Linked DNA regions of Stegostoma tigrinum. The protein of the gene in region 4 purifies or fractionates together with the protein of the main gene of each other region. This does not show direct contact. Links are inferred from orthologs where the notes say so. Each region holds a gene or a part of one and is shown on either strand. Other genes may lie near its edges.

What was found.
Region 1: the proteins of dhx15 (region 4) and snrpa1 fractionate together in Homo sapiens (co-fractionation; 3 studies listed by BioGRID and IntAct, with this or other methods). This does not show direct contact. The link is inferred for Stegostoma tigrinum from reciprocal best matches to the Homo sapiens genes DHX15 and SNRPA1.
Region 2: the proteins of dhx15 (region 4) and gcfc2 purify together in Homo sapiens (co-immunoprecipitation; 3 studies listed by BioGRID and IntAct, with this or other methods). This does not show direct contact. The link is inferred for Stegostoma tigrinum from reciprocal best matches to the Homo sapiens genes DHX15 and GCFC2.
Region 3: the proteins of dhx15 (region 4) and sf3b3 purify together in Homo sapiens (co-immunoprecipitation; 4 studies listed by BioGRID and IntAct, with this or other methods). This does not show direct contact. The link is inferred for Stegostoma tigrinum from reciprocal best matches to the Homo sapiens genes DHX15 and SF3B3.

What each region holds. Positions count from the first base shown.
Region 1 is NC_081386.1:1,212,436-1,219,949, forward strand, and holds the start of snrpa1 (U2 small nuclear ribonucleoprotein A'), read left to right. Parts: upstream 1-4,500; 5' UTR 4,501-4,548; coding exon 4,549-4,630; intron 4,631-7,514. UniProt on the Homo sapiens protein: Involved in pre-mRNA splicing as component of the spliceosome. Associated with sn-RNP U2, where it contributes to the binding of stem loop IV of U2 snRNA.
Region 2 is NC_081357.1:74,078,126-74,086,129, reverse strand, and holds the start of gcfc2 (GC-rich sequence DNA-binding factor 2), read left to right. Parts: upstream 1-4,993; 5' UTR 4,994-5,204; coding exon 5,205-5,484; intron 5,485-8,004.
Region 3 is NC_081369.1:5,608,083-5,615,406, reverse strand, and holds the start of sf3b3 (splicing factor 3B subunit 3), read right to left. Parts: upstream 3,009-7,324; 5' UTR 2,900-3,008; intron 1-2,899. UniProt on the Homo sapiens protein: Component of the 17S U2 SnRNP complex of the spliceosome, a large ribonucleoprotein complex that removes introns from transcribed pre-mRNAs.
Region 4 is NC_081354.1:88,290,735-88,298,282, reverse strand, and holds the start of dhx15 (pre-mRNA-splicing factor ATP-dependent RNA helicase DHX15), read left to right. Parts: upstream 1-4,530; 5' UTR 4,531-4,744; coding exon 4,745-4,914; intron 4,915-4,945; exon of another isoform or gene 4,946-5,233; coding exon of another isoform or gene 5,234-5,247; exon of another isoform or gene 5,248-5,251; intron 5,252-7,548.

The DNA.
Region 1 (7,514 bases), on a different chromosome or scaffold from region 4:
TTGTCTTTTTGTAGCCAGTTGGTGTTCATGTACTCTTGTTGTTAGTTTCCTTCCTGTTTGCCCGATGTAGTGTTTCTCGCAGGCTCTGCAGGGGATCTTGTAGATGTCCTGTCCATGGCGGGGAGTGGGACCCTAGTTCGGGTGAGCAGTTTCCGAAGGGTTGACGTGGGCTCGTGTGTCACTCTGATGCCCAGCGGTCATAGGAGTCTTGCGGTGAGTTCCGACGTGTTCCTGCTGTAGGATAGTGTGATGTGTGTGTCGGGAAGTGTAGTATCTTTCCGGATATCCAGTTTTTCAGAAAGATACTACATGTATCTTTCATCAAGAAACATGAACTGATGTGAATGCGTTGAATAAACCTAAGATAGCTGTTAAATTTTTAATCACTTAGAAATGACGAATACACAAAATCCCAGAATTTATTTCAAGTCACTGTCCCAAGATAACTAAAGGTTTTATCAGTATACCAGAGGTGACTTCTCAAGTCAGACAATGCATTTTAGATGCGAGGCTTCGTTTAGAATCTGGCTGTTTATTAACTTGGAGTCAGATTGGTTTTATTTCCAAAGTAGGAATTTATAAAATTCCACACTGACTGTCTACAAATTGTGTGCTTTTTGAACGGAACAGAATGTATCTGCAATTACAAACCTGCAAATGCAAATTCACCCCATTGATATAGGTGCGTGTGTGTGCGCGCATGCTTGAGAGAGAGAGAGCGTCTATAAGCCTTGCCAAAGACGTTATTAAAGTCCACACAGGCAATGTCTACCGCTCTGCCCTCAATTATCTTGTTCATCTCCTCTTCCAAAAAACTCAACAAAGTTTGTGCGATATGATTTCCTGTGCACAAAGCCATGTCAACAATCCTGACTAGTCATGGCGAAGGGTTTTGGCCTGAAACATTTACTTCCCTGCTCCTTGGATGCTGTCTGACTTGCTGCGCTTTTCCAGCTCTACATTTATTAACTTTCCAGTCTTCTAGGACCTCAACTGTGGCTATCAATGATATAAGCATCTCTGCTAGGGGCCCCACAATTTCCTCCCTATTTTCCCTCAATGTCCTGAGATACATTTGGTCAGGTCCAGGGGATTTATCTACCTTTATGTGTTTTAAGACCTTCTCTTCTGTAATGTGGACTCTTTTCAAGATATCACCATTTATTTCCCTGAATTCTTGAGCTCGATGTCTTTCTCCATAGCAAATACCGTGGCGAAATATTTGTTCAGTGTCTCAACCATCCCCTGTAGTTCAACACTTAGACAGCTTCATTGATCTTTAAAAGGCCCTATTCTCTCCCTAGTTACTCTTTTGTTCTTAATACACTTGTAGAATCTTGTTGGGTTCCCCTTAGCCTTACCTGCCAAATCTACCTTAGGTCTCCCCTTCCCCTCCTGTTTTCACCCCCTGTACTCCTGAAGGGATTCATTTGATCTCAGTTGCCTATACCTGGCATGTGTCTCCTTTTTTTCCTTGACTAGAGCATCAACATCTCTAGAAATCCAGCATATCCTATACTTGCCTATCACATCACACGAATATGCTGTCCCTGACTCTGGGTATCTCACCTTTTAAAGTTTCCCACTTGCAAGACATCCTTTTACCTGTACATAGCCTCCCCAATCAATTTTTGAAAGTTGCTGTCTAACACCATCAAAACTGGCTTCAGTTCATCAAGACTGCTTCCCCAAAAATATACTAGCTGTGCTAATTAAAAAACAAAAGAACTGTCAATGTTGTAAATCAGAAATAAAAACAGAAATTGCTGAATAAGCTCAGCACGTCTGGCAACATTGTTGATCTTTTAAGGGCCCTAGTTACTCATTTGCCCTTAATACACTTGTAGAATTTCTTTGGCCCTTAATATACTGTTCTGAGGAAGGGTGTTTTTTCATTCATGGGATAAGGGCATCACTGACCAAGCAACATTCATTGCCCATCCCTAATTGCCTTGAGGGTAGTTCAGAGTCAACCACACTGCTGTGGGTCTAGAGTCACATGTAAGCCAGACCAGGTAAAGATGGCAGTTTCCTTCCCTAAAGGACATTAGCAAACCAGATGGATTTTTTCAACAATCAATGATGAATTCACGGGCATCATTAGAGTCTTAATTCTGGATATTCATTGAATTCAAATTCCACCATCTACTGTGGTGGAATTCGAACCTGGGTTTCTCAAACATTTCTGGGTCTCTGGATTATCAGTATAGTGCTAATACCACTGGGCCATTGCCTCCCCAGGGTCACCAAAGTTAACGAAACATTAACTCTGATTTCTCTTCGCAGATGCTGCCAGGCCTGCAGAGGTTTTCCAGTAATTTCTGTTTTTGTTACTAGTTATGCTATCCACCTGCCTGCACTCATAACCTTGAAAATTATGACATTTCAAGTGCTCATCCAAGTACTTTGTTGCTGCACCCCACTACCTTCCCAGGCAATACATTCCAGACCTCCACTCTCCTCTGGGTTTTTCCTCAAATCCTAAGCCTCTTGCCTTTCAGTTTAAAATTATCCCTCTTGTTATTGAGCACTTTGGGTCTAGTGATCATAATTCCATTAGTTTGAAAATGTTCATGGAACAGGACAAGCCTTCCACAAAAGTTGAAGATTTTAGTTGGATCAGGGTAAATATTTCTAATGTTTTGGAGGAAATCTGTAGCTCGTGTTGTGGGTGTTAAGGTTGGTTGGCTCGCTGAGCTGGTTTGTTGTTGCAAAACAACAAACCAGCTCAGTGAGCCAACCAACCTCAAAGGCAAATATTAACAGTATGAGACAAGAACTTTCAAAAGTTAATTGGAGTAGACTGTTTGCAGGGAAAGGAACGTTTGACAAGTGGGAGGCTATCAAAAGTGACATAACCAGGGTTCTGCAGCATTATGTTCCTGTCAGAGAGAAACGTAAGGCTGGTAGGGAAAAATGAATGAACAAACATATTGAGGTTCTAGTCATGAATAAAAAAGAATCAGGGGCATTCTTAAGAGTGATATCAGGAAAGCAAAGAGATGTGAGACCGGCTAGGCAGACAAGGTTAAGAATAGTCCAAAGAGATTCTACAAGGACATTAAGAATAAGACAGCAACTAGGGAGAGAGAAGTCCCTTAAAGACCCAAGAGTCGTCTTTGTGTTAAATCTCATGAGATGGGAGTGATATTAAATGAATATTTCGCATTAGTTTTTGCCATGGATAAAGAAATGGTCGCTAGAGAAAGCAGGGAAATAAATATTGATGTTTTGAAAACTGTTCACTTTACAGAAGAGGATGTGCTGGAGAGCTTATAAACGTAAAGGTGGATAAATCTCGTGGACCTGATCTTGCGTATCCCACCATGAGATACGACCAATTCTCACTTGTCTCAATACACGCGGACAACCCATCCATAACTGCACAAGCCAAACAGAGACACGCCAGGGAATTGGAGGCCTGGTATTCTAACTGGAACTCCATCAACAAACACATTGAATTAGACCCCTTGTACAAAAAACAGAGATACAGACCTGAAAGTGGTACCAAACATCCCAACAAATGGAGGCATATAAATAACAAGCGGAATTGAACACCAACGCTTCACCAGAGGCACACTAACAATCTTACCTCACAGAGTGACGAAATGTCTGCAAACAAACCCACCAGCTTGGCAAGCAAGTCTATAACCTCAAGCTAGTCACCAGTCTGATTCAGAAATATATTACTATTCCTTCAATTTGTCTGGGTCAAAATCATACAGTCCCAAGGATCAGTGGGATGAGAACAAAAACAGAAGTTCCTGAGAAAGCTCAGCAGGTCTGGCAGCATCTGAGAGGAAGAAAATCGGAGTTAACGTTTCGGGTCCAGTGACCCCTCCTTCACCGGATCTGAAACGTTAACTCTGATTTTTCACAGATGCTGCTAGTTCTGCTCAGCTTTTGCAGCAACGTCTGTTTTTGTTACTGAGTTACAGCATCTGCAGCTCTTTCGGTTTTTATTCAGTGGGATGAAAAGCTGAGGTTGGATTTTATTCCTGGAATTTGGAAAGAGATGAGAAGAAACGTTTTCTCTTCAAAGGTTTTAAACCTCGGTAATTTTCTAACCAGTTTAACCAGAAGTGTATACACCAGGTGTAGATGGAGCATCAGCTGTGATCTTACTGAAAGACAAGCTGAACGGCCTACCGCGTTACTATTTCTCATGTTTCACAAACACATCTGACCCTACCTTCTCCTTTATTCATCTTCTATCCACCTCCCCGTCTCCCTATTTATTTCAGAATTCCCTTCCCCTCCCCCATTTCTGAAGAAGAGTCTCGACCCGAAACGTAAAACTTTCCTGCTCCTCTGATGCTGCTTGGCCCGCCGTGTTCATCCAGCTTCACACCGTGTTATCTCTAATCAATGTCTCCCACTTCATTTCCAACGTCCAAAGTAACCCTGTGCGCACGGGGCACTATGGGAGTGAGAGCACGGGCGGGGCCGCGGGGCACTGTGGGAGTGAGGGCAGGGGCGGGGCCGCGGGGCACTGTGGGAGTAAGGGCAGTAGCCAAGGCGCAGGTTGGTGTGGGGGTGAGGGTCATCATGGTGAAGCTGACGGCGGAGCTTGTTGAATTAGCAGCTCAGTACACGAACCCGGTCCGAGATCGGGAGCTTGATCTTCGGGGTAAGAGAGTGTCGGAGAAATTTGGCTGATCGTCGAGCTATGCCCGTATCTAGCCGTGGGCCCAGAGGCAGTCTGGGGCAGGACTTCCAAAGCGCGGTTCGTCCTCCCCTCCCCCCGCACCCTCCCTGGTTCTTCTCACCCGCCTTGCCCATCAGCCTCCCCACCCCCCCTCCCTTCACCCTCCCCCCCCCCCCTCCCTTCCCCCTTCCCCCTCCCCCCCCCCTCCCTTCCCCCTCCCCCCCCCCTCCCTTCCCCCTCCCCCCCCCCTCCCTTCCCCCTCCCCCCCCCCTCCCTTCCCCCTCCCCCCCCCTCCCCCCCCCTCCCCCCCCCCCCTCCCCCCCCCTCCCTCCCCCTCCTTCCCCCTCCCCCCCTCCCCCCTCCCCCCCCCTCCCCCCCCCTCCCCCCTCCCCCCCCCTCCCACCCCTTCCCCCTCCTTCCCCCCCACTCCCCCCCCTCCCCCCCCCTCCCCCCCCCTTCCCCCCTCCTTCCCCCCCACTCCCCCCCCCTCCCCCCCCCTCCCCCCCCCTCCCCCCCCCTCCCCCCTCCTCCCCCCACTCCCCCCCCACTCCCCCCCCACTCCCCCCCCCTCCCCCCCCCTCCCCCCCCCTCCCCCCCCCTCCCCCTCCTTCCCCTCCTTCCCCCCACCTCCCCTCCTCCCCCCCCCCTCCCCCCCTCCCCCCCCCTCCCCCCCTCCCCCCTCCCCCCCTCCCCCCCCTCCCTCCCCTCCCTCCCCCCCCTCCCTCCCCTCCCTCCCCCCCCCTCCCTCCCCTCCCTCCCCCCCCTCCCCTCCCTCCCCCCCCTCCTCCCCCCTCCCTCCCCCCCCTCCTCCCCCCTCCCTCCCTCCCTCTCCTCCCCCCCCCCTCCCTCCCCCCCCCCCCTCCCTCCCCCCCCCCTCCCCCCCCCCCTCCCTCCCCCCCCCCCTCCCTCCCCCCCCCCTCCCTCCCCCCCCCCCTCCCTCCCTCCCCCCCCTCCCTCCCTCCCCCCCCCCCCCCCCCCCCCCCCCCCCTCCCCCCCCGCCCCCTCCCCCCCCGCCCCCTCCCCCCCGCCCCCTCCCCCCCCGCCCCCTCCCCCCCCCCCCTCCTCCCCCCCCCCCCTCCCCCCCCCCCCCCTCCCCCCCGCCCCCTCCCCCCCCCCCCTCCTCCCCCCCCCGCCCCCTCCCCCCCGCCCCCTCCCCCCCCCCCCCTCCTCCCCCCCCCCCCCTCCTCCCCCCTCCCTCCCCCCCCCCTCCCTCCTCCCCCTCCCTCCTCCCCCCCACCCTCCACCCCCCCCCCCTCCCCCCTCCCCCCCCCACCCCCCTCCCCCCCCCCACCCCCACCCCCCCCTCACCCCCTCCCCCCCCTCACCCCCTCCCCCCCCTCTCCCCCTCCCCCCCCTCTCCCCCTCTCCCCTCCCCCCCCTCTCCCCCTCCCCTCCTCTCCCCCTCACCCACCTCCCCCCCCTTCCCCCCCCCCCCCCCTCCTCCCCCACCCCCTCCCCCTCCCCCCCCACCCCCCCCCCCCCCCTCCCCCTCCCCCTCCCCCACCCCCTCCCCCTCCCCCTCCCCCCCCCCCCCCCCCCCCCTCCCCCCCCCTCCCCCCTCCCCCTCCCCCCCCCTCCCCCACCCCCCCCCCTCCCCTCCCCCCCCCTCCCCCTTCCCCCCCACCCCCTTCCCCCCCCCCCCTCCCCCCCTCCCCCTTCCCCCCCTCCCCCTTCCCCCCCTCCCCTCCCCCCCCCCCCATCCCCCCCCCCCCCCCACCCCCCCCCCCCCCCCCACCCCCCCCCCCCCATCCCCCCTCCCCCCCCCCTTCCCCCCTCTCCCCCCCCCTTCCCCCCTCTCCCCCCCTTCCCCCCCTCCCCCCCCCTCCCCCCCCCCCCCCACCCCCCACCCCCCCCCCCACCCCCCACCCCCCCCCCCCCTCCCCCCCCCCCCCCCCCTTCCCCCCACCCCCCCCCTTCCCCCCACCCCTCCCCCTTCCCCCCTCCCCCACCCCACCCCCCCCCCCCCCCCTCCCCCACCCCCCCCCTCCCCCCCCCCCCTCCCCCCCCCCCCCATCCCCCCCCACCCCCCCACTCCCTCTCCCCCCCCCCCCCTTCCCCCCCCACCCCCCCCTCCCCTCCCCCCCTCCCCCCCCTCCCCCTTCCCCCCTCCCTCCCCCCCTCCCCCCCTCCCCCCCCCTTCCCCCCTCACCCCCCCCTTCCCCCCCCCCCCCCCCTCCCCCCTCCCCCCCCCCCTTCCCCCCTCCCCCCCCCCCTCCCCCCTCCCCCCCCCCCTCCCCCCTCCCCCCCCCCCCCTCCCCCCCCTCCCCCCCTCCCCCCCTCCCCCCCCTCCCTCCCCCCCTCCCCCCCTCCCCCTCCCCCCCCCTCCCCCCCTCCCCCCTCACCCCCCCCTTCCCCCTCCCCCCCCCCTTCCCCCCCCCCCCCTCCCCCCCCCCCTCCCCCCTCCCCCCCCCCTTCCCCCCACCCCCCCCCTCCCCCCTCTCCCCCCCCTTCCCCCCTCCTCCCCCCCCCTCCCCCCTCTCCCCCCCCCCCCTTCCCCCCTCCCCCCCCCCCTTCCCCCCTCCCCCCCCCCCATCCCCCCCTCTCCCCCCCCCCCCTCCCCCCCTCCCCCCCCCTTCCCCCCCCCCCCCCCTTCCCCCCCCACCCCCCCTTCCCCCCCTCCCCCCCCCTCCCACCCCCCCCCTCCTTCCCCCCCCCCCCCCCCCCCCCCTCCCCCCCCCCCCTCCACCACCCCCCCCACCATCCCTCCACCCCCCCCCCCCACCCCCCCCCCTTCCCCCCCCACCCTTCCCCCCCCCCCCCCCCCCCACCCTTCCCCCCCCCCCTTCCCCCCCCCTCCCTTCCCTTCCCCCCCCCCTCCCTTCCCCCCTCCCTTCCCCCCCCCTCCCTTCCCCCCCCTCCCTCCCCC
Region 2 (8,004 bases), on a different chromosome or scaffold from region 4:
ACACTCCCCACTAACCCCACCAACCCTGGCACCTTTCCCTGCAACCACAGGAAGTGCTACACCTGCCCCACACCTCGCCCTTCACCTCCATTCAAGGCCCAAAGCAAACCTTTCATACCTGACAGGGGTTCACCTGTATATCCTCCAACTTGGTATCCATTGCTCTCGATGTGGCGTCCTCTACATTGGTGAGACCAAGTGTAGACTCAGGGATCGTTTTGTAGAGCATCAGTGCTCTGTACACAACAAACAACACCTTCCGGTCACCAACCATTTTAAGTCTCACTCCGACGCCCTGGGAGACATGTCCAACCTGGGCCTCCTCCTGTGTCCCAAGTCGCAACCCACAAACTGGAAGATCAGCACCTCATATTCTGCCTCTCCAGCCAACAGCCCGATGGCCTAAACATGAAATTCACCAGTTTTAATATCCACCTCTGCCTCATCCTATGACCAAACCTCCCTCTCCTTGACCTGACACAACCTATCTGCCCCCCCCCACCTCACTGACCGATCCCCACCACTCCCTACCGGCATTTACCTATCACCATTCCACCTACCTTCCCCAGTCCCACCCCTCCTCTCTATTTATTTGTGAGCACCCTTGCCCCCTCCCTACTTCTGAAGAAGGGCCCAAAGAACAACACTCCTGCTCCTCCGGTTCCACACTGTCGCCCTAATAAGTCCACTTTAGTGCTATCTGTTTTGGTGTTGATTAACAAGTGCCTTTTGATCTTCTGGTAATCTTGATTAAGCATGAAGCAAAGCGATGGGTTATCGTTGCACACCAATCATCAATTTCCAGATGTATTCACCACCGGAGGGAGCCATTCAAGATTTACCTGCCAGCAGGAGAACCTTGTCTAACGAAGTTAATCGAATTGCGAACAACAGCACTCACTCACAGGTTGTACATGATACGTTGGTCTTTCTGATTTGGATAGTTTCAGTAATCTTGATGTTACGAGTAATTATAGGTAATGCTCCATTGCTGACTCCATCAGCAATGACCTGGACTAGACAGAATCTAGTTGATCTCAAGATGGGCATACTTTATCTGTAAGACTTACTCTAAAAAGTCCCTGGACCTTAGCTTTATACAGGCTTTCTTTAATTTCTCTCCTCCAGTGTCACAACGACTCCACCCAGAAACTGGAGGAACAGGACCTCATATTCTGCCTTGGAACCCTACAACCCAACGGTCTCCTATGGACTTTACTAGCTTCAAAAACTTGCTACCCTTGACCTCATCCCAGGACCAGCCCCTGCTCTCATTTCTGCCTCCTTGACCTGTCTGTCTTCTTTGCCACCTATCCGCTCCACTATCCACCTTCTATCATCGTCTGCCGCTCTTTACGTATTTGGGTCCCCTTCCCCTCCTCCATTTTTGAAGAAGGATCCAAGATGTTGCTTGGCCTTGCTGTGTTCATCCAGCTCCACACTTGGTTATTCCGGACCAGAAAAGTACAGCTACCTAGAATACACCTCCTCCCACCCACCCTCCTGCAAAAATTCCATCCCCTATTCCCAATTCCTTCGCCTCCGCTGCATCTGCTCCCAGGATGAGGCATTCCACTCCCGCACATCCCAGATGTCCATGTTCTTCAAGGACCACAACATCCCCCCCGCGGAGGTCGAGAACGTCCTTAACTGTGTCTCCCGCACTTCCCGCAACACATCCCTCTCACCCCGCCCCCTCAATAACCGCCCTAAGAGAATCCCCCTTGTCCTCACATTACACCCCACCAACCTCCAGATACAACGCATCATCCTTCAACACTTCCGCCACCTACAATTCGATACCACCACTAAAGACATTTTTCCCACCCCACCCTTGTCTGCCTTCCAGCGAGACCACTCTCTCCGTGACTCCCTTGTCAGCTCCACACTCCCCTCCAACCCAACCACACCCGGCACCTTCCCCTGCAACCGCAGGAAGTGCTACACTTGCCCCCACACCTCCTCCCCCACTCCCAACCCAGGCCCCAAGACGACTTTCCATATTAAGCAGATGTTCACCTGCACATCTGCCAATGTAGTATACTGTATCCACTGTACCCAGTGTGGCTTCCTCTACATTGGGGAAACCAAGCGGAGGCTTGAGGACCGCTTTGCAGAACACTTCCACTCGGTTCGCAATAAACAACTGCACCTCCCAGTCACGAACCATTTTAACTCCCCCTCCCATTCCTTAGATGACATGTCCATCTTGGAGTGCCACAATGATGCTACCCGAAGGTTGCAGGAACAGCAACTCATATTCCGCTTGGGAACCCTGCAGCCCGATGGTATCAATGTGGACTTCACAAGCTTCAAAATCTCCCCCTCCCTCACTGCATCCCAAAACCAGCCCAGCTCGTCCCCGCCCCCCAGGGCATAACAAAACCAGCCCAGTTTTTCCCCGCCTCCCTAACCTGTTCTTTTCTCACCTATCTCCTCCTCCGACCTCAAGCTGCACCTCCATTTCCCACCTACCAACCTCAACACGCCTCCTTGACGTGTCTGTCCTCCCCGGACTGACCTATCCCCTCCCCACATATACTCTCCTCTCCACCATCCATCTTCAGTTCGCCTCTCCCTATTTATTTCAGAACCCTCTCCATGAAGGGTCTAAGCTTTTGTGCTCCTGAGATGCTGCTTGGCCTGCTGGGTTCATCCAGCTTCACACTTTGTTATCTTGGATTCTCCAGCATCTGCAGTTCCCATTATCTCTGATCTCAAAGATAATGGGAACTGCAGATGCTGGAGATTCCAAGATAATAAAATGTGAGGCTGGATGAACACAGCAGGCCAAGCAGCATCTCAGGAGCACAAAAGCTGACGTTTCGGGCCTAGACCCTTCATCAGAGAGGGGGATGGGGGGAGGGAACTGGAATAAATAGGGAGAGAGGGGGAGGCGGACCGAAGATGGAGAGTAAAGAAGATAGGTGGAGAGGGTGTAGGTGGGGAGGTAGGGAGGGGATAGGTCAGTCCAGGGAAGACGGACAGGTCAAGGAGGTGGGATGAGGTTAGTAGGTAGCTGGGGGTGCGGCTTGGGGTGGGAGGAAGGGATGGGTGAGAGGAAGAACCGGTTCGGGAGGCAGAGACAGGTTGGACTGGTTTTGGGATGCAGTGGGTGGGGGGGAAGAGCTGGGCTGGTTGTGTGGTGCAGTGGGGGGAGGGGATGAACTGGGCTGGTTGAGGGATGCAGTGGGGGAAGGGGAGATTTTGAAACTGGTGAAGTCCACATTGATACCATATGGCTGCAGGGTTCCCAGGCGGAATATGAGTTGCTGTTCCTGCAACCTTCGGGTGGCATCATTGTGGCAGTGCAGGAGGCCCATGATGGACATGTCATCAAGAGATCCCCTATTCCCAATTCCTCCGCCTCCGCCGCATCTGCTCCCACGATAAGACATTCCACTCCCGCACATCCCAGATGTCCAAGTTCTTTAAGGACCGCAACTTCCCCCCCACGGTGATTGAGAACGCCCTTGACCGCGTCTCCCGCATTTCCCGCGACACATCCCTCACACCCCGCCCCCGCCACAACCGCCCCAAGAGGATCCCCCTCGTTCTCACACACCACCCTACCAACCTCCGGATACAACGCATTATCCTCCGACACTTCCGCCATTTACAATCCGACCCCACCACCCAAGACATTTTTCCATCCCCACCCCTGTCTGCTTTCCGGAGAGACCACTCTCTCCGTGACTCCCTTGTTCGCTCCACACTGCCCTCCAACCCCACCACACCCGGCACCTTCCCCTGCAACCGCAGGAAATGCTACACTTGTCCCCACACCTCCTCCCTCACCCCCATCCCAGGCCCCAAGATGACATTCCACATTAAGCAGAGGTTCACCTGCACATCTGCCAATGTGGTATACTGCATCCACTGTACCCGGTGCGGCTTTCTCTACATTGGGGAAACCAAGCGGAGGCTTGGGGACCGCTTTGCAGAACACCTCCGCTCAGTTCGCAACAAACAACTGCACCTCCCAGTCGCAAACCATTTCCACTCCCCCTCCCATTCTCTTGATGACATGTCCATCATGGGCCTCCTGCACTGCCACAATGATGCCACCCGAAGGTTGCAGGAACAGCAACTCATATTCCGCCTGGGAACCCTGCAGCCATATGGTATCAATGTGGACTTCACCAGTTTCAAAATCTCCCCTTCCCCCACTGCATCCCTCAACCAGCCCAGTTCATCCCCTCCCCCCACTGCACCACACAACCAGCCCAGCTCTTCCCCCCCACCCACTGCATCCCAAAACCAGTCCAACCTGTCTCTGCCTCCCGAACCGGTTCTTCCTCTCACCCATCCCTTCCTCCCACCCCAAGCCGCACCCCCAGCTACCTACTAACCTCATCCCACCTCCTTGACCTGTCCGTCTTCCCTGGACTGACCTATCCCCTCCCTACCTCCCCACCTACACCCTCTCCACCTATCTTCTTTACTCTCCATCTTCGGTCCGCCTCCCCCTCTCTCCCTATTTATTCCAGTTCCCTCCCCCCATCCCCCTCTCTGATGAAGGGTCTAGGCCCGAAACGTCAGCTTTTGTGCTCCTGAGATGCTGCTTGGCCTGCTGTGTTCATCCAGCCTCACATTTTATTATCTCTGATCTCAAGTCAGCTTTCCTGCTCCTCTGATGCTGCCTGGCCGACTGCAGCTCCATAGATATAACACAATGTGGAGCTGGAGGAGCACAGCGGGCCAGGCGGCATCAGAGGAACAGGAAAGTTGACGTTTCGGGTCCGACCCTTCTGATGAAGGGTCTAAGCCCGAAACGTCAGCTTTTGTGCTCCTGAGATGCTGCTTGGCCTCCTGAAAAAGGCCCACTTTTCTACTCCAGCTCCTCGCTATGTTATCTCTGAATCACCCTCCACAGTTCTTAAAAGAACTCCGTCCAGTCTTTTCGATACAAATATCAAGCAAACCCAGAATCTAATAGGGGTTGATGTTTGGTGAGATTTTAAAAACAGGACGTCGTTTATCTTTTGATGGGAAAAAGGATAGTACTGCTCGTGCATTTCTAGCCTTCACTTACGTATTGTGTTGGTATTGAAACTTAAACTGGAATCTTTGCGATAAATGTTTATTCCTTGTCATACTTCACACCCCCCCCTTACAATCAATAAGTGGAAGATTCCCTCTCCTTTCCGGTCCGTTCCGCGAACGTTGCGGGGTGCCGTGTTCTGTCTGTAATTGTCTTTAGAATGTTCGGAAAGAATCCGAAGCGGAATTTCCGCCGCAGGAGGAGTGAGTCCAGCGAGGAGGATGATCAGGAGCAGCTTCAGCCCGGAGCTAGGACCAGGGCTGCAGTCATACTCGCTCCACCAACCTGTGGCTTAGCCAGGGCCCAGTCCGCCAGCCCCAGCTCAGCTTCAGCAGACAGTGGCAACGAGGAAGCTGTAGTCGAATGGGGCGCTCCAAAGCACACCAGTCAAACCCGTAACTGTGACCTCAGTCTGCTGAGCTTCGGCTACGACAGAGAAGGTAATGCTGCATATTAGTCCGCCGTCAGGTATCTTTGGGCAGGCACGCTAAGATCTGTTCCTCTGAGCTTCTTAGTGTCTTGCCTTTCATTGAGGATACTTGTCTTGTTCCTTCTTCCAAAGTGTAATCCCTCCTATTTATCAGGATTAAATTCCATATGCCACTTATCTGCCCTTCTGATCAATCTGTTTATATTCTCCTGCAACCTAACGCCTTTCTCCTCAGTCAACCACACAATCTTTATGTCATCCGTAACTTCTTATCCACCCCACATTCTCATTTTTGTCACTTATGAATATCACATACAATGAGGGACACAGCACATCCCTGTCGTATGCTACTGGGTCCCAATCTCACAAACAGTGTTGCACTACCATACTGTGTCTCCTGTCACTTCAGTAATTCTAGATCCAACTTGCCAAGTTAACTTGAATCCCATGAGTTTTTACGTTTTTTACCAGTTTCCCATATGGTATTATTCTAATGAATTTGAGAATAAACTTTCAGTGCAGTAATTGGCCAACTTGGATTTTTCTGAGATAATAAAATGTGAGGCTGGATGAACACAGCAGGCCAAGCAGCATCTCAGGAGCACAAAAGCTGACGTTTCCGGATTTTTCTGATTTACTTTTGTAGATAGGAAATATCTGGGCAATTTTCTACATTGGGTAGATGTCAAAGTTGTACCTGTGCTGGAACAACTTGACTAGGTATGCGGCAAGTTCAGCAGCCAAATGTTCAGAATTCTATTGCTGTCATATTCTCAAGGCCCAAAACCTTGACTGTATCCAAGGCCTTCAACCATTTCTTGCTGTCGTATGAAGTGAGTTGAATTGGCTGAAGTTTGGTATCTGTAATGCTGGGCACCTCAGAAGGAGGCCAAGATAGATTACCCACTCAGCGTTTCAGGATCAGGTTTTACCCATTTTAATACATACTTTTGAAACTCCTGTAAATTTTTAGGGATTCGTTTGTTGAAGGAATATGCTTAGATAATGAGTATTTATAAATTGTAGAAATTGTATAAAACCAGACACATTCAAATGGAAATCAGTGAAGCTTGACAGTTCACTGCAGTCTTAGATAATGAATTCCACAGATTCATGACTCGTTGTGAGAAGTAATTCTTCTTATCTCTTTTAATTCTGCTACTCCTTAAAACTCATTGTTGTACATTGTCTCACACGAGTAAACTACTTTTGATCTTCTTCATCAGTTACCTTAAGTGTCGTATATACCTCAATTAGATCTCTCATTCTATTGGAGAGGTTGATTAAAAACACACAATATTTGAAAAACCTGGGTCAGGCAGCATCCGAAATAGAAACAATTAACTTTCTTAATACTTCAAGGTGATAATCTGTTGACAGCTTTGTGGAATTGCAATCCAAATACCAGTGCCCTATCTACCTGAATTCTCCAGAACTCAAATTGGCTCATTTTTTCTACTGATCAAAACCTTCTGATACAGAATGGGCAATATACAGAGATCTGAACAGGAAATTTCTGTGCCTGGGCATACACCATCAGGAGTATTCTATAAAGAATACAGCAAGTGATAATGTCAAGACAAGTATGGAGAATGCTTGAGAAACTCCAGTTCAGCAGCGTCTGTGGAGAGAGAAAGAGAGTTAATGTTTCATCTGGTATGAATTCTTCGGCATTCTTCCTTGGCAATTGAAAGGCAGGTAGTTTCCTGTTAAAGTTTCACATGAGGAGAAGCATGAAACGGACTGGAGCCTGGGACAGCTGGGAGATGGTGAGTCAGTGCTAATGGAGACAGAGGTCAAGTTTGCATGTGACAGCACACCGCATTGTGTGTGGATTACAGAATCCCAATGACTCCATTTGACCCATCAAGTCTGCACTGACCCTCTGAAGACCATCCCACCCAGTACCCTCTCCCCAGAGACAGAGGATTCACCTATCTTGCACATCCTGGATAGTACAAGGCATTTTAGTATGGCCAATTCACCTAATCTGCATATTTTCAGACTGTGGCAGGAAACCAGAACAGCAAGAGGAAACCCATGCAGGCATGGGGCAAATGTGCAGATTCCACAGAGCTGGTCACCTAAAACTAGAATTGAACCTGGATCCCTGGCACTGTAAGGTAGCAATGCTAACCTCTGAGCCACCATGCCGAGCCTTCAGGACTGCAGAATGCAGCGAGGGGCATATATTTGAGGAGATAACAAAGTGTGGAGCTAGAGGAACACAGCAGGCCAGGCTGCATCAGAGTAGCAGGAAATTTGATGTTTCGGGTTGGCACCCTTTTTCAGAAATATACCTGAGGAGCGTTGTCTGTCTCGGAAATGCCTGTAATCCTGGTTGGGTTAAAATGAAGAGTGGGAAGAACGATTGGAATTTGTGAGGGGTAACGTGGAACCAGAGGCAGACACTGAGGAAGATAGTGTGGCTGTGAAAGTGCATTTTGGTTAACACTTTATCCCAAACCAGAAGAGAGATAGAAAGCAAAGAATGTGAATAAGCCAAAAGATTAGAACTGAAATCCCAATG
Region 3 (7,324 bases), on a different chromosome or scaffold from region 4:
TACAAATCGAACACATGCAGTTTTGAAAAGAAAACGTCACCTTAATTCCCGGTTTGGGAACAACTTTCTCCCACAAAAACACCACCCTAAAACGTAACGATAGGTTAGAAAAGGTCTAAAATAAGCCATCGCCACAAAAATACAGGGTGAAGAGAGATTCGAAACTCCAGCTGTAGCTCTCTGAGGCATTAAGTTCAAAGAGCTGCACGTATTCTAAATTGGTTGACTCCAACCAGAGCGATAAATGAGGCGTAATGGTGGTCTTGAGTACGAAAAGGAAAATACACCCGTCTCTACACTACTGCTTCTTATTTAATTTATCCCTGCTTGAAAAAAGAAGTCAGGTTGCAGACACAGCAGGATAACGCAACACGCTGGCTCTCAAAAGCTCACATGACAAATGGCCACCTGGGTGACAGAATGGAAGAAAGGCAATAGAGCAACATACAAACATGAAACAAATTCAGGCAAGATTAGTAAATGTCAGCTCGAAAGCTTGGGTTGGGAAACTGATTTGAATTGCCAGCTTTGTAACTGGTTAATAAATTGACACTCCATAAATACCAAACAGATTTCAAAGATCACATACCCAACTCCACCAGAAGGCAAGAGCAAGTATGCAACAAGGACACACAACCAAACATATACTCAAATAAAAAGCAAAAAATTTTAGTTACAAACCAAACTCGTGAGGAAACAATTATAGCCGCACAACAATAGGCATCTCAGTAAAACTCACTGCTTTGCAGATTCCAACATTATCTGTCAACATAAACAGGCCAGCCTCAAAAAAGCACTGATTAAGAAATGTGGCAATAAGTGTGTGCAGTTGGAGGAAGACAGCAGGCTGGACAGCATCAGCGGGGCAGGAAAGTTCACGTTTTGGGTCAGAACTCTTCTCCAGAAAATGAAGAAACGACCTTAAACGTCAACTTTCCGGCTCCTCGGCGGCTGCCTGACCTGCTGTGTTCTTCCAGCTCCACAACGTGTTATCTTTGACTTTGGCATCTGCAGTTATTACTATCTTTGGCTAAGAAACGTACTATGTCTACTTAGGGGATGCCAGTAGGTATTCAAAACTCTGGCTCATCTTGGTTAAATGTAAAAAATTCACTGCACGTGCAAAGAGGAAAGTTAGCTGCTACATTCTATCCTCTTTGAAAAATCAGACATCTTTAAGGATTCTGACCACAATTTTAATTAAATGCACACAAAGTTAACAGTTTTGAGAATTTAAAGTTAACACAATGCAAGCACAGATCTCACACTATAAACATGACAGTTAACACCATTACAAGTATCAAGGGGAATTCTGTATTTGGTACTGATTTTACATTTATCTCTCTACAAATCTATTCCAGCCACAACTAATCTGTATCAATAAAAGTTATTGATAATTTATATTAATATTATAATAATATCACTTCACTGCAAAAAATGCATAAATTCTGCCACATCTTCAACAGATCTATTGTTCTATTCTAACCTTCAAGTAGTGACATTGATGATGAGATCTAATATATTACTTGGTGACAGCTTTATTTGAGTAATAGGCACGGATCCCTGAAAGGTTAAAATAATGAGATGATCTAATTAAGAACTAGAATTCAGAAGTGCCTTGATAGGGGAGATGGGGAGACTGTATTTCTGCTGGCTGTAGAATCTGGAACACAAAGTCATTCTCAGAATGAAGAGAAATTTCTTCACTGAGGGCTAAGAATCTTTATAATCCTCTGCCCCAGAACTTGAATGCCAAGTTGCTGAGTGTATCCAACAAAAAAAATCAATAGATCGTTGGGTATCGCACAATGAACGGCAGAGGAGTCGTTAAGGACTGCAGATGCTGGAAGCCTGAGTCAATAAACATGGAGGCGGACAACACAGCAGGTCAGATAGCACCAGAAGAGCAAGAAAGTCAACATTTTGGGCTGAAAATCTTTGTCGAGACGGGGGAGGGGGCCCCAGAAGTAAATAGTGGGAAGTCGGGCTGCAGAAAGGTAGACAGGAGAGTCTGGCCTTGGGGCCAGCTCAGCATCCACAATACTAATCTCAAGTACCCTAATTCCAACAGCAGATCCATCAACCTAGAACTTTTTCCTTGGCAAACATCCCCAAATTCGAACTGAAAGAACTCTGTTGCAAATACAACCTAAATGTTGACCTCCTCTGTACCCCAGGGATCAACCACAGTCCAAGGACCATTTTCCCTCTCGTGTTATCTTCAACCAGCTGAACAGCAAGACACAGCAGAAACCGGATGAACATACGAACTCACAACCACCCTTCCCTAATTTAAAGGCTTGGACTGGGAAAAATAAGTGTAATAGATCCATTTTATGGCCACATTTAAGATGTGCATCTGGCAGATAATGGCTCACAATGGGCACCTGGTTAGCAGAAGCCACTTCCTAACATTTCGCAAATCCACGTGTTTCTCATTTTCTTCAGCAATGAGGATGCTAAGCACAAGAGGTGGACAAGTGAAGCCTATAAGTTGTATGAAGTTCGCAGTGAACCGAGGCTGCAGCTCCACTAATATTTCGCTCCCTAATTGTGCGTTGGCAGGTTTTGATCCAGTTATACCTCTCTTTTCAGATTTAACACGACTAGCTAGGTTGCGCATGGCAGCGACCAATGTACCAGAGGATGTTTTAAAAAGAAATTGCTGCCACCATCGGCAAACTGCAGGAGCTGCTTCAAGTTTATCTGCCCCTCCTTAAAGAGGCCTCACCGACTTCCCGCCTTCATGAAGCAGGACGGCCTGCACCCGCGCCTCTTTTAGGCCCGAAAGCCAGCCTGCCCACCGTGGCTCAAAAAACAACCACGGGAAACCATCGAAAGGCAATATTGGTAAAATCAGCACCGCCCGAGCTCCCGGAGTCAAAAAAATCGGCGCTACCTGCTGTAGGACGCAGGATGCCACCGATTTCCCGTCAGATTGCTGGCTCCATCCTCCTCAATGTCACCAACCCCGCTGCTCCCGGCCTGGGGTCCTTGCTGCCTGAATAGGTGGCCAACTCGGGGGCCTGTGCCCAGTTGTGCATGCGCAGTATGCCGCGAGAAAAGAATCGAATCAAACAACACCGGACCTCCGGCTCTGAAATATATATTTATTTAATAACCAATTTTACAAATACAGTTACAAGACAGATTGATGTATAACATATTTTCAGGCACTCGTTTAGACAATGCCCTAGAACGCTAAGTTGCCTACTCTACAACATAAGGACATGCAGCAAAGAAACATACCTTTGGTCTAACTTGACCAAGACGACCAGGTTTTCCAAACTACACTAGTGCCACTTGCCTGCATTTGGCCCACACACCTCTAAACCTTTCCTTTTCATGTACCTGTCCAAATGTGTTTTTAAATGTTGCAACGGTACCTGCATCTACCACTTTCAGTGGCAGTTCATTTTCACTGACAAACCACCTTATGTGTGGGGGGAAAAAAGTTGCCCCTCAGATCCCTTGTAAGTGCTTCTCCTCTCCTCTTAAAAACACGCCTCTAGTTTTTGATTCAGGACTGTCCTTACTGAAGGAAGGATATACCTGTCACTGGCAAATACAACAAATATTCATCGGATGATTCCTGGGATGATGGTATTGACCTGTGAGAAAAGATGGAGAGGAAAGGACCTGTAACCTCTAGAGTTTAGAAGAATGAAAGACGGTTTAATTGAAGCATTATACATTCTTACAGAGTTTGCAAAAGGAGATGCATCTGCAGCCAATGGACACAGATTCCGAACATAGGGGCAAGCAATTTAGAATTGAGATGGAGGAAGCTTTTTTTCACCCGAGCTGGTGAATCTCAGAAAGCTCAGTCATAGAGTCATACAGCACGGAAACAGATATTTCAGTCCAACCAGTTGATGCCAAACATAACCCGAAATTAAACTAGTCCCATCTGCCTGCTCCAGGCCTATTTCTCTCCAAAGCATTCTCATACATGTACTTATTCAAATGTCTTTTAAATGTTGTGATAGTACCCACAATCCACTACCTCCCCTGGAAGTTCATTCCACAGATAAACCACTCTCTGTGTAAAACATTTGCCTCGTCTTTTTAAAATCTCTTTTTCTTTACACCTTAAAAGTCATTAAGGATGTTCAAGACACAGTAAAATGGCACAGAGGTAAAAAAATCACCCATGATCCATTGAATAACAGAACAGGCTTAATGGACCCAATGGCTGATTTCTATGTTCCTAAAACAGAGGAAACAAGAGCTATCTGCTGAAATTGCATCCCTGCATGAGCCTGAGATAGCAGAAAAAGAAAAGAGGAAATTTATTTTGAAAGGGAATCATATGGATGGGGAAGGTTCATGCTGGTTATCGTGGGATAGTGGAGAAAGTCCATTTGTCAAGTTAAATCTTAGTTTTTACTGTGCGTGAAGGCTTAGTGGAATCAAAAGTGATTTATCCTTGTCTTATTAAAAGGGCTGCCCAACATAGAACTCGAAGGCATTCATCAGGATGCCTTCAAAGAAGCGTAGCATTGAGAAATGCAGTGAAAATGAGCCAACCCAGCACTTCTCTCCTAAACATCTAGTTTGCAGTGAAATAATAAAAATCTTGTGTTTCTTCACTGACTTTGGAGATGAAGTTTGGTATGGCGTTTGTTCATTACAGAACCAATGAGCTTGCTGACATTTCTTTTCAGCCTTAAGTTGGAGAAACCTAGAAACTAGGGGACAGGAAGGCATTCAGCCCCTCAAGCCTGCTCCAACGTTCAACGTGATCATGGCTGATCCTCTGTCACAATTCCATCATCTTGATTTCCACCCAAACCTCTTGATGCCATTAAAATAAATTAAAAAAAACTCTTTCTTGAATGTGTTCAGTGATTTGACCTCCACAGCCTTTTATGGTAGAGAATTTCACAGGCTCACCATTTTTATCCTTAGTTTATGCCCTCTGGTTCTGACTGTCTAACCAAGGATCCAATCCGTTCAGCCCAGTTTTAATTGTATACAATTTAATCAGGTCATCTTGTATCCTTCCAAACTCTGGTGAATTAAAACCCCAGTTGAACCACTCTCTCTTCATATGGCAATCCCTGATGTCAGCCTAGTAAACCTCATCCTATAGCAAGTATAAACCTTTTTAGGCTGGGAGACCAAATCTACATACAAAACTGCAGGCATGATTTTACCAATGGTCTGTATAACTGCAGTTGGACATCCTGCTTCTGAATTCAAATCCTCTTGCATTGTACCATTTTCCTTTCTACTCACTATTGCAGCTGCCTGTCTACATTCATCAACCGATATACGAGGACACCCAGATCCCTTTGTACACACACTTCCCAATATATCACCACCAAAATCTCTTTCTTTCTGTTTTTCACAAGTGTAAAACTTCATAATGAGCCACATTGTACTACACCTGCTATGTATTTGCCAATTCATTCAATATGTCTAAATCACAGTGAAGTCTCCATCTTCTTCCTCACAAACCACAATCCAGCCCAGTTTTATGTCATTAGCAAATTTGGGAATTTGCATTTGGGAATGTTCTCAGTCATTCAACATGCTGTAGATAGCTGATCAAGCATCAATGCTTGCAGTACACCACTAGTTACTGCCTGCCGCTTGGAAAAATACCCCTTTATTTTCACTCTGTTTCTTATCTGTCAGCCAATTCTCAATCCACATCAATAAATTACCCCTATCCAATGTGCTTTAATTTTGGCCATTAACCCCTTAAGAGGGACCTTATAAAAAATTCACAGAAAATACAAATGCATCACATCAATTGGTTCTCCCTTTATATAAAATAATTTTAAAACACTCACAACCAGTTTCCCTAATAACTATTTGAGTGGACATACATTCTGGTTTTCAATAAATGGTTTAATGTCTCCTTAAAGTAGCAGAGGAATTAATTTAAAGATATATATGTTCCTGAATCTGTTGATTATAATTGCACTCTAAATTAGAATTCCCTCCCTGACAGCACTGTGGAAGCACTTGCACCACATAGGCTGCAGTGGTTCAATACTTAAAATGTTTCATATTAAACCATCAAAGTTGTTAAAAACATTTGTGGTCTTTACTACAACAGTACATTAGTTTTTCTTACACCAAATACTTCAACAGAACTCTTTAACTTTTCATTGGGAAAAAATGTGCAAAACCACATTGGTCTGGCCTTGCAAATTTTTTTACAGTCGTAGCGGATAATAATTAGGAACTGTTTTCCCTACATTGAAAAGGCTTGTGGTGTAATCAGTTTCGTTTGAGGAAGAAACACTCTTGACATTTTGCTGTAAAACTGTCCATCACTGAAGCAGTTTAAAATGTTTGGTGTTCAAGTTTTGTGTCAACAAATTGCTTCTTTCTTGAGCAAAAACAGAAAGTGTTGGAGAAACACAGCAGATCTGGCAGCATCTGTAGAAAGAATAACATTGTTAATTTTCCGAGTCCAGTAACCCTTCTTTCTTGAGTCTAAGTTTGAATGGTGGGATATCACTTGATTGATTTCCTGAAACTTTTCATTAAAATTTGGTAAATCTTCATTTTTAACACAGTGATTTACAAAGCTAGGTTATAGAAAATAATCATGGTATTTTATAACCAACTCACCTACTGTTGCCATGCAAATCCCTCAGGTGCTATTCCCGTCCTATCCTTCCCACCCGAACTCTCCGCTCCACCGAAGATAAAGTTGTTGTTGGGCTTCCACTAATTTCATTTTGATTCCTCCATCACCTCTCCCTCTGCTGCTGCAATCATGGACAACCACACATGCATCATGCACACCAGCCTTCCATGCACCCGCCAAATCAAGACACCAACAGTCACACCCCATAAACTGACTAATAGTGCGAGCCTGGAGATCAAAAAACATAAGTACCGTGGATTGTACCAATCTTATAAACAATTGTGTTTACCAAGGTGGTCAGCTCTGGGTTAAGCATTGCCTTGTGTAGCTTAGAAACTTCACTCTAGTATGGCAGTTTATGTTGCATTTGCTGCAGACAAAAACGTGGGGTCAAAAATGCACAATTCCCTGGCCTCTAGTTTCTCAGGGTGCTCTTCCTAACCAGTTCAATTCTGTTCACTTATAGAACATAGAACATAGAACATTACAGCACAGTACAGGCCCTTCGGCCCTCGATGTTGTGCCGACCTGTCATATCGCTCTCAAGCCCATCTAACCTACACTATTCCATGTACGTCCAAATGCTTATCCAATGACGACTTAAATGTACCTAAAGTTGGTGAATCTACTACCATTGCAGGCAAAGCGTTCCATTCCCTTACTACTCTCTCACTAAAGAAACTACCTCTGACATCTGTCCTATATCTTTCACCC
Region 4 (7,548 bases):
CAGTATTCCATCTTGGCCAAACCAATCACTTTATAAAGTTAGAATATGACTTCCTAGCTACTATATTCTAGCCCTAGCTAATGAAGGCACACATCCTATATGCCTTCTTCACCACCCTATCTGCCTGTCCTGTCACCTTCAAGGAACAATGGACTTATGCACCAAGGTTCCTTTGATCCTGAGGACTCCCTAGGGATTTGTCACTCATTGTGTATGTCCTTCCTAAAATGTATCACCTTGCACTTATCAGAATTAAATTTAATCTGCTATTACTTTGTCCAGTTTAACAGCAGCACAAAAATCAGACTGTACCCCGAGTCAGTCATCCTCACTATCAACAACAGTACCAATTTTCATATCATCTATGATCTCACTAGTTATATCTTCCCGTTTACATTTAAGTTGTTAATGTATGTAAAACACAGCAAAGATCCCAGGACCAAACCCCGCGTACACCGCTGGTCACAGGTTTCCAGTTACAAAAGTAACCCTCACAACATCATCCCCTAGAGACAAAAAAAAAACTGCAAGTGCTGGAATCCAAGGCTGTCAAACAGGAGGCTGGAAGAACACAGCAGACCAGGCAGCATCTGGAGGAAAGGAGCAGTCAACATGCCGGGTATCACCCTTCTTCAGGACTGATTATAGAGATTAAAAGATTAGACAAATGGTGTGACTGGAGTGTCGAGAGGCTGAATAACAAGTGAAGGGATGACCTCCAATCAGATTACTTGAGACAGAGAGATCATTTCAAAAACTTAAAAATAAGGTGGTGCTGGAGACAAACCAAGTGATCTTTTGACCTTTCTGATTATAAAGTCTGTGCCTGGGTGCTCTCTTCACATCACCTGATGAAGGAGCAGCGCTTAAAAAGCTTGTGATTTCAAACAGATTTGCTGGACTATAACCTGATGTCATGTGACTTTTGACCTTGTCCACCGCAGTCCAACAGTGGTACCTCCACATCAATCACATTAGTCAGACAAGATTTTCCTCTAACAATCCATGTTGACTATTCCTAATCAATCGCTGCCTCTACAAGTGTAATCCTGTCTCTCGGAGCTTTTTCCAATCATTTCCCTAATATGTACATCAGACTACTGGGTTTGTAATTAACTGGCCTATCTCTGCTTTTCTTGTACAAAGGAACCACAAAAACTATCTTCCAGACATCTGGCACTTCATCTGTGGCCAGCAAAGTATTAAATATCTCTGCCAGGGCTCTAGCGCTCCCTTCCATTGTTGCCCATAGCAGCCTGGGATACATCTAATCAGGCCCCTGGAATTTTGCGCCTTCATGCCTCCTAAAACATGTAATACTCCTCATTATTCTTAACGTTCTCAATGTCCCAGCTAAAATCACCGTCTACAATGTCTTTCCCCTCTGCCTGTAAACACAGATTGCTCCTTTGGTCTCTAATAGACCCCACTCTTTCCCTGCTAATTCTCTTACTTTTAACATAATTATAAATTGCATCAGTGGTTTCCACAATACTATCTGGCTAAGGTCCCTCTTTGCCCTCCTACTTACTTTTTAAGCAACTCCCTACACTCTGTGGAGCTGGAAGTTCACAGCAGGCCAGGCAGCATCAGAGGAGCAGGAAAGCTGACGTTTTGGGCCTAGACCTTTCTTAGGAAATGGAGATTTCTGAAGAAGGGTCCCGACCTGAAATGTCAGCTTCCCTGCTCCTCTGACGCTGCCTGGTCTGCTGTGTTCCTCTAGCTCCACACTGTTATCTCAGACTTGAGCTTCGGCAGTTCTTATTACCCCTATGCTCTGTATACCTTTGAGGGGCTTCCCCTGTTTTTACTGCCTTGTTCCTGATGTGGCCTCCTTCTTTCTCTTTATTCAACTCTGAACATCCTTTTTTTAATACATTCATTCATGGGATGTGGGTGTTGCTGGCTGGATCAACATTATTGCTAATCCCTAATTGCCCAGAGGGTAGTTAACAGTTAATATTGGTGTGGTTTTGGAGTCACGTGTCAGCCAGGTCAGATGAGGATAGCAGTTTCCCCTCCCTCAAGAACATCAGTGAACCAGATGGGATTTTTCCTTGACAATCAACAATGGATTCATGGTCATCATTAGACTCCTAATTCCAGATTTTTATTGAATTCAAATTCCACCATTTGCCATGGTGGGATTTGAACCTGGGTCCCTGGATTAAAAGTATAGCGATAATACCATTAGGCCATTCCCATCCCACTCCCCTAGACAGCCAGGGTTCACTGGACTTGCTGCCTTGATCCCTCACTCTTAGAAGAACATGCTGGTCCTGAATCCTCACTGTACTGCTTTTAAAAGACTCACTTTCCAAATGTAGACTTATTGCAACTAGTTGCTTCCAGCCTATGTTTGCCAGATCCAGACTAACACTATTGAAATTGGCCTTCCCTTGGTTTTGATGCTCAATTTCTGTATTATCCTTATCCCTTTCCATAGTGACTTTTAAACTCAGAATTATTGTCACCATCTCCAAAACAATCACCCATGAACTCTTCAACCACTTGACCGGCTTCATTCCCGAGGACAACATAAAGCCAATAATCTTGCACACACCTAATTCTTCAGAACACAAGTACTGTGGAAAATGGTAAGTGACCAGAGTACATGAGAATCCATGAATACAAATTATCTCAACGTACTTCAGCAAAGGTCAAAATCAAAGATGACTAATAATTTCAGAAATTCCCTTCAAGTGTAACCCTGTTTCTCTCACACCTCTGTTCTTCTATCTCCCTCGGACAGTTGGGAGGCCAGTAGTATAATCTCAGCAAAGTAATAACCCTTTTCTCATTTCTAAACTCTGTCCAGATGGGCTCATTTGAAGGCCTCTTTACAACATCTTCCTTCATTACTGCAGAGGTAGTTTCTTTTATTGATAATGCCATGCCCCCACCTCTAATATCTTTCACTGTTGTGCCTGAAACTTCTATGGCCTGGAAAGTTGAGCTGCCAGTCTGGTCCTTCCTCCAACCATGTCTTGGTGGTTGCAACAATATCATATCCCACATGCTGATCAGTGCTCTAAGTTCATCTGCCTTATCAGTCAAGATCCTTACATTAAGACAGATACAATTTAGCTTTCTTGGCCTCTTGTGCTTTAACCTGTCTATGTCTCCTCTGCCTAATGGACAATTCTAGCATTCCTTCTATTTCTGATTGGAACTTGCTTCAGATTTTATATCCATCTTGTCCCCTGCCCTATCAAATTAGTTTAAAGCCTCCCCAACAACATGAACAAATTTCGCAGCAAGGTTGTTGGACCCATTCCAGTGTAGATGTAACCACCTACTCAAGAAGCTGTCCCAATGATCCAAAAATTTAAAGTGCTCCCTGCTACACCATCCCTTTAGCAACACATTCATCTGACATATCTTTCGAGTCTTATACTAAATAGCACAGGGCACTCGAAGTGATCCAGAGATTATAACTTATAACTTCCTCTTTAATCTTATACCTAATTCTCTAAATTCCTGTTCCAGGACCTCATTTCTTTTGTTCTTTTGTTCCCCAAGTCATTGGCACTGACAAGAGGCGTGACTGTTGGCTGTTCACCCTTCTCCTTCAGAATGCCCTGATAGCTGCTCGGAGACATCCCTGATCCTGGCACCACGGAGACAACATACAATTCAAGAGACTCTGGTAACAGAGAGCCACCTATCCATTTCCCAATAGTGGATGTGATAGTAATGTCATTGGACTTTGTAACCCAGGAGGTTGAGGTTAATATTCTAAGGACAGTGATTCAAAACCGACCAAAGCAGCTAATGGAATTTAACATTCAAATTAATAAAATCTGCAATTGAAAACTGGTCTCACTGGTGGTGACCTCGAATCTGTCATAGACTGTGAAAGCTCATCTTATTCACTATAACCTTTTTGGCGAAGAAAATCTGCCATTCTGGTCTGGTCTACATGAGACTCTGGATCCACAACAATGATTGCCATTTAACTGCCGTCTGAAATGGCCTACCAAGCCACTCAGTCCAACTGCGTTTATACAGTTAACAGACTTTGCTAGCCTGCATCCCATAGGATAATAATAATTGAAATATGCATGATCAAAAGTTATTTATCTTTGAACTGAACATGAAGTAGTTACATTGTCATTGTCCAAGTGAATTTTGAAAGCTCTCTGTTATGTGGTTGCTCACAAATATTGAAGAACCATGACCGGCAGTTCAGTTGAAGATTGTGACTATGGCTGTTCTGTTGTTCCGTCTGCATCGAGGAAAGAATGTTATAGACTGCTTTTAAAAACTTACAAAGGTCATCTCGTAACCGGTTTCAATTCAGGTCTATCAATTATTGAAACAACGGGAAAATAACCGTGCTTGTGTTTAGGACAGGAAATGAGGTAGATTTCAAATCTTACTCCCAGAAACGGTACATTTTGTGTTGACTTCACACAACTCAGGACAGTTTATAACATCTGACAGAAGCTATATGAAACTAAAACCGCAAGGATCATTCAATAATAAAATGTTAAAACATCTTGCTGCGGTTCCGCGGCGTAACCGTGCCAGAACGAGGTACGTCTCGGTCTGGGAGCCGCCATCTTGTGGAAGTGTTGGGAAGAAGCCCGGCATTGCGTCGGGGCCTGTTGCTGGAGGCTGCTCGTCTTATACATTAAACACTGGGCTGTAGTGGGGAGCGGGAAGTGAAGAAAGTAGATAGGGATATCGAGAGAGGTAAGGGAGACAGGTGCAAGGTGATCAGAGGAGGTGCTGCCTGCGCATGAGCTTCTGCAACAATCGGGACGGAACCCGGAACAGAAGGGGATCGAACGGAGAGACAGAATCGGAACGCACCCGGACCGCTCTAGAACGCGGAGACATGTCAAAGCGGCACCGCGTCGACTTGGGGGACGATTACTCGTCCAGTAAGAAGCGCGCCACCTCGGACGGGTAGGTTAATCCGCAGAGTGGGACGCCGGCGGGAGGCTGGCTGCATCTGAACAGCGGCTCTGAGCGCTAGGGCCTCGGCTGGTTTGCCGAGACAGCGGCCTTGTCGGTGGGGTCAAGCGGCGCTCCCTCAGCGTCCCGCCCGGCTTAGCCGAGCGGAAGGGGCGGCTGCGGCTCGCCGCGGTTCCGCTCTGCCTCTTGCGGAGAAAGCGCGTTAGTTACCGAGAGTGACTGTGCGTGAGAGGCCGAGGGCCTGCGGGTTTGTCCATTACCTCCCGCCACCTCCGCGACTTGGTGCCGCCGGCCTGCAACTTTCCTGCTCATGTCTCGTTTCAGGTAATCTGTTTTTTGTTTTGCCGCCGCTGTATCTTGCAAGGTTTCCGGCCGTTCTTGGCAGGACAGCGCCTTCCGTTCGATCCTGTAATATATGGAGCCTCAACAAGACATTGGCGCTGCCCTACGCCTGTTTCTGCACATGGCTGGGCCACGTTTCCGAGGCCGCACCCGGGTTTTGGGAATTTATACCGAATACCTCGGGGTAGAGGGGAAGACATGTACTGTTGAAGTTTTCTCCGTCGTTTTGCCATGCCCAGTGCTATGGCGGGAATAAGCTTTCTGCACGTTTACTAACGGTATCTTTTCGAAGTTATTTTCCTTATGTAGGTTCGTCCTGAACGTCTCTAGAAGAGGCGCAGAAAGAATGTCAGTTGTCCTCTTTTCAGAGATTAAGGTTTGGGAACAGTGGGGAAATATATTGATGAGGGAGATAAGGCTTATTGGTGTTTTAAAAATTTATTTAATCAGCGGAAAAGTGCGACCCCCCCCCACCCCTTCGCGGGGATGGGGGTGGAGAGAGGGGTGGGAGCCACTGGGGTTCCTAGCTAGGCCTTTTTTGGCAATCTAACCACTACTAAAACACATTTAACGTCCCATGAACGTGTAATTTCGTTCCTGTTTTCTTCCCCTACTTTCCCGAAAGTAGAAGCAGTATGGCTCCACCGGTGCAAATGATGTCTTGCCCAATGTTGCTCATTTATCGCACATTGACTGTCCACTGGCAATTTGTAGGTTAAACTATGGTTTAAGCATGGACACGTAGGTTAGTTCCAATACAGGAGGCTACTCTACCTGAGAATAATTCACTTAGTCCTGTTTTCAGTCCAGCCCATATCTGGTCTGTTCATGTAATTATCCATTTGAAAGTCAGTATCCATGAGTCAGATGAGCAATCCAAAGCCAAGCTCCACCACATTTGCATCCATTGCATTTCTTGATCCATATAAGGTTTCTGTTCATGAACTTTTAGTTCTTTTGTTGATCCCTTGCAGTACTCTGGATGTCTTCTGATTTTGACCCCTCTAACAATGAAAATAAAAAAAATCCCAATTTACTTTGCAGGTTTACTGTGATTTTGATCACCTCATAATCTTCTCAGGAGAACAGCCCATTTCTTTAATTTACCCACTTGACCCTTTACCCTGGAGTTCTGTCTTTTTCTGTACAGTCTCAAATACCCTCACATTTTTCCTAAAATGTGGGCCAGAATTGAACACAGTACTCAGTTGAGGTTGAATTAGTATTTTTTTAAAGCCGAGTGATGACTTCCTTACTCTTATATTTTGTCTCTCCCTCTTTGTACAACCCAAGATCCCAAATGCCTTATCAACAGTATTCCTAACATGCCTGAGCACATTCAATAATTTGTGCGTGTCCCCAAGGCTTGTACTTTCTTTACAATTGTACTGTATTTCAGTGCCTGTCCTTATTCTTCCTACCAAAATATATGACTTCAGCCACCTGTGTAGTAAATTTTGTTGAAGCGTTAGCTCAATCTAGTAGCCTGTTCGCGTTCTTTACATCGTCCTCACGGTTCAGAATACTTAATACTTCTGTGTCATCTGCAAGTTTTGCTATAATGCCTCAAACACATGTCATTAATATGGAACAAAAACAGTCATCATCATAATGGCCTGTTGAAAACCCCATTATATGTGTCTTTAGTTTGTAAAACAAGTGTTCTAGGCTAGTCTCTGATTCCATTTAACCATCTTTATAACTGTGTTCACTACTCCTCTTGCTCCAGTGGGAAAAGCCCCAGTCTGTCCCCGTAACTCAAACCTTCCATTTGCAGCAACATCCTGGTAAATCTATTCTGAGCCCTTTCCAGCTTAGAGTTGATCTTTCTTTGCATCATCTCTATAGCTGTAAAACTATAATCTGCATTCGATATGTGTACGTTGGAACAGGAAAAAAAATGTGGTTTGTGAATAATGTTGGAATAGCTGAAGGTGATGCTGGAACTGTTCTTAATTAAGTGCTCAAGACAAATAGAGTCTCATTACTAAACTAATAGAATATGCTTTCAAATCCTCTGTTTGGTTTTTACTGTTAACAGCAAGAAAGAAAAATCAAAACCCTCAAAGAAGCAGATAGAAAGCTGGATGTCTAGTGTCATGATTTGAATTAAAAAGAGGTTTGGAAAACTTTGACAATTAATATCTGGGACTTGTAGGTTTTGCAGGCTACCAAGCAGGATGGAAAAGTTTAATCCATGCTGATTTCAAATGAGATGATGACTGCAGGCCCGAGAGGTATAGGTGCAAGCTTGTAAAATGTAATTTGAAAACTGATGTCAGA